Rattus norvegicus: one gene and its partner. The protein of the gene in region 1 interacts with the protein of each later gene in a biochemical or structural test. Links are inferred from orthologs where the notes say so. Each region holds a gene or a part of one and is shown on either strand. Other genes may lie near its edges.

Region 1 (3,500 bases):
ACGAGTGTGTGAGTGTGTGTGAGTGTGTGTGTGTGAGAGTACGAGTGTGTGAGTGTGTGTGTGTGAGTGTGAGAGTACGAGTGTGTGTGTGTGAGAGTACGAGTGTGTGAGTGTGAGTGTGTGTGTGTTTGTGTGAGAGTACGAGTGTGTGAGTGTGTGTGTGTGTGTGAGAGTACGAGTGTGTGAGTGTGTTAGTGTGTGAGTACGAGTGTGTGAGTGTGTGTGTGTCTGAGGAGGAGACCCAGGCCCTCCCTGAGCACACCCAGCTATATGCCACACAGTGTCTTGTAGCATAAAGGCAGCAGCTCCTCATGTCTGTGAGTTTTGGCATTTTTTTGTTTTTTAGTCTAAGGCCACATGCCTTTTTTATTTTTTTTTTAAATATGACCCTGGTTGACTTAAAATTTGCTATGTAGCTCTGTCTTTCCTCAGATAGTTATCTACCCGCCTCTCCCTCCCAATTATTGAGATTAAGAACGTTCATCACTGCACACAGCCCAGGATGAGTGAACTTCAGAGTCTAGCAGCTTGGTTAGTTGCTGGAGGGCTGGGGACATCTGTCCACCCTCCCCCCACCTCCTCTCTCTCTCCTTTTTCCAGTCCCCAGCAGTGGCACCAATGGGGTCAGTATGCCAGCGGACTGCACGGGGCCAGCCACTTCTGCATCACCAGAAAACCTCACACAGAGGAGTCCCTCTGAGTCTGCCGAGGGGACACACACATTTGAGGTTGGTTGGTCTTGGGGGCGGCCAGGGTGGGCTGCAATGCAAGGCCCTGATGTCTGTGCGAATTCTTGGTGTCCAAAGACCTATAGCGGTTTCCAGCACTCTTAGCTTGGGCAACTTCTCATGGGTTTGCTCATGCTCTTGTACAAGGTTGCACAAGGCCACTCCCCTTTCCACACTTTAACAACACCCAGGCAGGGCATTTGCAGAGACAGATTTATTGGCTTGGTTTTATAAGTTGGAAGGCATGTGAAGGCATGGCTCTGGCTCTGCTGCCCCCAGCTGATTACAGCCCACTTCACTGGGAGTGCTCATGAGATGGGCAGTCATGGGATTAATAGGGGAGAGCCAAGGGCAGTGCCCTGTGACCTACCCACTTCCGTGGGATCCTATTAAAGGTTCTCCCACACCACACCAGAGACTGAGAGCCTAGCCAGTGGACACTTGGCATTGGTTGATAGGCTGTCAGTCACTGTCACGAATTGTCCCACTTTTGTTACAGTCACAGATGAATCCCCAGAATGACTGGTGCTGGGGCTGTCAGTCCTGAAAAACTTACCTAAGAGAGAAGAGGCACCTGTGCAGACCCAGGATTGAGGCTAGGGCAATATGCCAGCAGCAGCTGGATGAGGGGTTTGATGGGGACCCCAGTTCCCAGGCTGGCCACTGTGTGGAGTCACAGGCATAATGAATGGTGTGTCTATTCTCCCCTACAAAATGCCCATCCCACCTCAGCATCCAAAGTGGGGGTTAGAAATAGCTCCCAGCCTGCTTCTTGAGAGTATGTCTGAGACTGAGGAGGAAATCAAGTACAAGGCGCCAGCCAGGCTATGCTGGCGTCTCGCTCCACCATGCAGGGGTCTACTTGAGTCCCACCCTTCTGACCTTGAGCTTGGGACACTCTGCTCCACCTCCTCACCGGCAGGCTGGGTTCTTAGTCTGCAGATTCGATCAGACTCTCAATTCTGTCTCTGTGGCACCCCAACTTTGAGCCCAAGGTTGCACATTCCAGATGCAAGCCTCATTCCCAGGCCGTTGGGGATAGACAGGGTCACCATACTCATATTTCTGGTCCTGTAGCAAGAACAGGCAAGACCCTTACCTTTTCAGCCATTCCTGATTCATGATGCTGACCTTATATAGCTTATGTAATAGTGAGCTTTGTGAAGATGGAGTGGGATTATGGCTAGGAGACAGCCACCTGGTGACATACTTGGCAGAAAGGGACTTCTGGAGATTCCCTGTGCTGGTAGAAATCTTTGCAGAGCCATGCCAGGCCCAGGGGCTGGTTCTCAGTGGGGGACAGTGCCCAGAGGACTGTGCACACAAGTCACCCTCCCTGTGTAGTAGCTACAGGGCCATGAGAGAGTCAGAATGCGGCCAGATTTGTAGGGTGTCAAGCAGCTAAAAACATTTAAAGTCTTAACAGCCTGGGAGAGAGCTCAGAACTGTCCCACCAAATTTTCCTACACTGCAAGTTGCTATCACAGACATGTTGGAGCTCCTATACTCCACCTTCCACTGTACAGCTAGGGTATTGGACTCAAAATTCTCCTTATTCAGGCTACATGGGTGATCAAGTTCCTGTACTCAGAACAGTCACACTTGTAAGAATTTAGAAGGGCCAGTGAGGGCTCAGTGAGTTAACAATGCTTCCTTCTGGGCTGGAGAGATGGCTCAGTGGTTAAGAGCACCGACTGCTCTTCCAGAGGTCCTGAGTTCAAATCCCAGCAACCACATGGTGGCTCACAACCATCTGTAATGGGATCTGATGTCCTCTTCTGGTGTGTCTTAAGACACATATAATAAATAAATCTTTTTTAAAAAAAAAATGCTTCCTTCTGAGTCAGAGGACTTAGGTTGGATCCCAGGGATTCACATGGTGACTCCTTCAGACCAGTTCAGGAGATTGTTCTGTTTTCTGTACATGCACACATATATGTGTGTACACATAGATAAATGAAATTTGGAGGAAACAAATGTAAGCATGTATAAAACACATACAAGAAGCTGTGAGGTGGCCATTCTTACTTGAATGGCCTATGATGTGAGGTTCCTTGAGGTCATCTCTGCAGTGAGATCCCAAATCGGTGACCCACATCACACCATTCCTTCTAGTGACTATCTGATCTGCTGCTTGGTAGCTGCTGTGTCTGCCATTTACTGTTTATAATTACATTCTGAGTATTTATCCCCTTGCTTGATGGACCCTTGGTCTTGGTTCTGGGTCTGTTGGTACCAAGGTGTGCTGATGTGCCCTGCTCCCGCTGACAGCCAGAGTCATGCCTGAGCTGAAGGTCCCAAGAACAGGCTCTTAGAGGTGTCTTTTGACTGTCTTTTGAGTGTCTGTGATATTTGCAGTCTGCCTCATCTCCACCTAATGCTTCTCCAGACCAAAAGCCAGTCTGCCTTTAAGAGGGATGCCCTAGAGTCTTGAAATCTCCACAAGGCCATCCACCTTGCCATCCAGCTGGAAGCATCCCTTTCCTCAGCTCCACTGAGGCAGAGGACTGCTGGTGTTGTTCAGCTGCTAGGCTTCAGGCCTAGCACCATCCCAAACCCTCAGATCCCTGGGCCCACAGCACAGGTCTGAGGTTCAGGCCTTTCTCTAATGGTGCCTACCCCAGGAGAGTCATAGCTTCCAGTAAAGCAGGAGCTTGGCTCCTTCTAGGCTCCTGAGCACTCCATTGTCCTGTTGGTAAATATAGGTTTTCCTTCTAGGAGAAGGTACCTCAGAAAACCCCAAGTGGAGGCTCAGAGGAGACGCACTGTGAA
Region 2 (3,955 bases), on another chromosome or scaffold:
TCTGCGTACTTTAAGCGTTTAATTTACTGACGGAGTGTCTTCTATTGCAGAATTGATGAGTGATCCCAAAGAACTCATTGAGGTACGTTCTTTGTTCCGTGTGTCTAAGTTAATAGTGGTGGGACACTAATTGGGGTGTGTGTAGTCTGTATTGGTTGAGTTTGACTGATTTTTAGAGTACTAACCAGACATTCCAACGTGGATACCCCGGGAGGTCACTCTCCCCGGGCTCTGTCCTAGTGGCGTACGGGAGCATAGGGTACTGCCCGATGATGTACAGTCCCTTTCCACAACGTTGGAGATGGAGCTGGGCTTCGAGTCTGCGCCTGCATATTCCTACGACTTCTCAGAGTCCTGTGGACCGTGACTGAGGAGACAAACCATGCAGGAAACAAAAATTTAAAGGTGATAAGACTTTTGCTGTGCCGCCTTCGGGAATGTAATGTTTGTGGTATTTTTTTTCCCCCTCTTTCAGGAAAGAAGAGGATCTATCTGTACAGGTGCCTGTTGATTTACTTGATAAAAGACTTTGAGGCCTTTTAATTATATGCAGCTTGGTGAAATCTTGTCCATATTATGGCCTCATCCATTGGAAGCTGGACAAGCTTTTGTGCCTACTCAATTTTGTCTGGCAATTACATTTTCCATACAGGTTGTGTCTAGATTTGTGAAAATGAAGCATGGTTCTCCTTTTTGAGGTCCAGGAGGTTTCCCCAGGACCATGTTATATAAACTTTATATTTTTTGTTCCCATGTTCTCTGTAAGATTGTAGCCATGAGTTCAGATCCAGAATGGGTTATTCGATCCAGTTGTAATCTATGAGTCTTTGTGATATGCCTGACAAGTTTGAATTAAAGCTTTTTGAATGCCTTTTCTTGTGATTTAATGTGTGCATGCAGACGGCTACAGATGGGTTCAAGATAAACCGAGTGAATGTTTGATCCATCCAAGTACTGAAATTACATTCCTTCTGCTCTGGTGATAGTGTTGGGTGGGAAACTAGTCAAGTGAATTTGGGAGGTTAGTCCTAAGCAGTTCAACTTGGACAGTCCTAAAACTGGGTAGCCTTGTGATAGAAGGTGGACAGATCCTGAGGTCATAATGGGAAGTTGATGACTCCTTGCTGCCTGCCTCCACGGAGCAGTCAGGGCCCTCAATGATGGGGGCATTGAGGGGGCACCTCGAAGGTAGGCCTGAAGATGCTGGTATGTTTCCCTGTTCTTGGAAATAAATTGGGCCTGCAGTGGGGCAATACTTGCATCTGTGGCCCCCTCTGACAGAAAGGGTAGATGGAGCAGCATTCTCAATAGACACTAGCTAATGTTTATACTCCAGAGTGGAATCCGGTGACCTTGGGAGGTTCTGTGTGTAAGTCTGCCTTCAGCTATTTCACCTGCCCTTAAGTTTCTTGAGGACCCTGGGTAGGAATATGTACCTAGGCTTCAAGGTGCAAGAGGAATTTTTCTTGAGGTCAGAGACTAAATCTTGCATTCTGTGAGATGAGCTGCCTGGATTTAAAGTACAATTTCTGTTCCTATGCAAGCACCCTTGCTTCAGAATTGCCAACCTCCCAGTTTCAGAGGTTGTCCTCAATCACAGTTGTCTTGGTAACCTTCAAATGCCCAGCTACGTAGACATGCTTACAATTTAATGCTTAATAAGTATACAGGACTGGGGAGTGTAGCTTAATGCTTGCCTTACTGTGCATGATACCCTAAATTAACAGGAAAGGTTAGTCCCAGGCAGAGGCCATCTAGGGCTACACAGTGAGTCTTGTCTCCTAAAAATGTTGGGGAATCTTACCAGTGGTGGCTGCTCTTCCGGGGGTCTTAGGTTCAGTTCTTGCCAACCACTTGGTGCCTCAGAACTATGATGGGATCTGATGGCCTCTTGTGGCATGTCCATACATGCACACAGAACAGCTAAGATCCCAGCCAGTGTATAATAGATGGTTCCCTGTGAGTCCTGACCTGGAAATCTGTAGATCAGGTTGACTTCAGGCTCCACCTGTCTGTGCTGTAATTACAGGTGTGCCACAAACAGGGTCTTATAAAGAGATTAATGATGGGGTTAGCGGGAAGCGCAAGGCCCTGGGTTCGGTCCCCAGCTCCGAAAAAAACAAAAAAAAAAATGGGGTTAGCGATGGTTCAGTGGTTAGTGCACCTGATACATAGCAGCACCCACCTAATACCCTGGGCTCCATGAACACAGGCATGTAAATGCAGAGAGAGCATGTATGCACTTAGACACAAGTATTTAATAGCTTAATCCTGAATAGAAAATCCCGATCCCCCATCTATGATTATTGATAACTTGCTGGACTCTCCCTTTTGTCTTTCAACACAATGTTTCTGTAGCCTTAGCTATTCTGGAATTCCTTCTGTAGAGTGGGCCGGCCTCCAGCTCATAGATTTTCCCTCCTCTCCCTCCCTAAGTCTGGGATTAAAGTCTTAACCCGCCTCCTTAATTTTTTTCAAGATTTATTTATTTATTTTTTTTTTTTGGTTCTTTTTTTCGGAGCTGGGGACCGAACCCAGGGCCTTGCGCTTCCTAGGTAAGCGCTCTACCACTGAGCTAAATCCCCAGCCCAAGATTTATTTTTTTTAAAAGTTTTCAAGTATATAATTTGTGCATCAGTGTTTTGCGTGCACATGTAACTATGAAAGTGTCCGCTTCCCTATCTAGAGCCCTATACTTCTGAGCTGCCATGTGGGTGGTGCTGGAAATTGAACCTGGGTCCTCTGGGAGAGAGCAATCAATGCTCTTAATGGCCAAAGCATGTCTCTAGCCCCTTACTAATGTGTCAATGTTGCCTGCCTGTGTTTTTGTGTACCGTGTGTATGGGAACCCCGAGAAATGGACTTAGATGGTTATGAGCCACCATGTGGATGCTGGCACTCCAACCAAGTTTCTCTGGAAGAGCAACAATATTATTTTTATCTATTGCTGGGGTGAGGTATTTGGGTGGGGGGGGGGCGGGGTTTCTCTATGTAACCTTAGCTGTCCTGGAACTCTGCTGAGTGCTCAGACTAAAGGCACGTGCCACTCCTTCAGAACAACAATTTTAACCTTGTTTTCTACCTCAGGTTTTGTGGGGGGAAAAAAAAAAAATATATATATATATATATATATATATATATATATATATATAGCACATGGGGAGATTTTATCTAAATGGCCTGAGAAATGGCTCGATGGGTGAGGGTTATACCACTCTTCAGAGAACGGGAGTTTGAGTCTCAGCATCCACATTTAGCAGCTCCAGAGGCTCCAGCACCTTCTGCAGTCTGCATGTTTGTGCATTCCCAATGCACAAACCCACACATGAAGTTAAAAATAGATGGCTTTGAAGCTGGAGAGATGGCCCATTAAGAGCACTGGCTGCTTTTCCAGAAGCCCGGACTGAGTAGAGTTCCCCAAGTGGTTGTGACTCACAGGTTGAGAACCAGTGATTTAAGCACAGGGACTGTTAGCAATGTGCTCAGGGAAAGGGTACATACATGGGCTTCTCCAAGCAATGTGTAACTGTCTATACACACACACACACACACACACACACACACACACACACACACACACACACACACGTGGGCTTCTCCAAGCAGTGTGTAACTGTCTTTACACACACACACACACACACACACACACACACACACACACACACACGGGCTTCTCCAAGCAGTGTGTAACTGTCTTTACACACACAGAGCAAGTCTTCAGAAAGTGACTGAGAAATGGAATGACCTTGGGGTGTCCTGGGTAAGATTCTGACAGATTGTACCCTAGAGGTGTGGAGACTTCAGTTTATTGTAAACAGAACTGTCTTTTTGTGAGAAACCCAGAAAATGCACCTCTGGGAAGGCAGTGGGGCCATAACCAAGTTCATGTATGTGCAGGCTTTAAGCATGATTTACTGCTTATGCGTACACTGTAGCTGTCCTCAGACACACCAGA

What was found.
Region 2: the proteins of Ranbp3 (region 1) and Rcc1 form a complex in vitro, tested with the Homo sapiens proteins (2 studies listed by BioGRID). The link is inferred for Rattus norvegicus from reciprocal best matches to the Homo sapiens genes RANBP3 and RCC1.

Annotation. Positions count from the first base shown.
Region 1 is NC_086027.1:1,621,974-1,625,473, forward strand, and holds part of Ranbp3 (ran-binding protein 3), read left to right. Parts: intron 1-600; coding exon 601-728; intron 729-3,446; coding exon 3,447-3,500. UniProt on the Homo sapiens protein: Acts as a cofactor for XPO1/CRM1-mediated nuclear export, perhaps as export complex scaffolding protein. Bound to XPO1/CRM1, stabilizes the XPO1/CRM1-cargo interaction. In the absence of Ran-bound GTP prevents binding of XPO1/CRM1 to the nuclear pore complex.
Region 2 is NC_086023.1:149,825,632-149,829,586, reverse strand, and holds the start of Rcc1 (regulator of chromosome condensation), read left to right. Parts: upstream 1-1,155; 5' UTR 1,156-1,188; exon of another isoform or gene 1,189-1,369; intron 1,370-3,955. UniProt on the Homo sapiens protein: Guanine-nucleotide releasing factor that promotes the exchange of Ran-bound GDP by GTP, and thereby plays an important role in RAN-mediated functions in nuclear import and mitosis.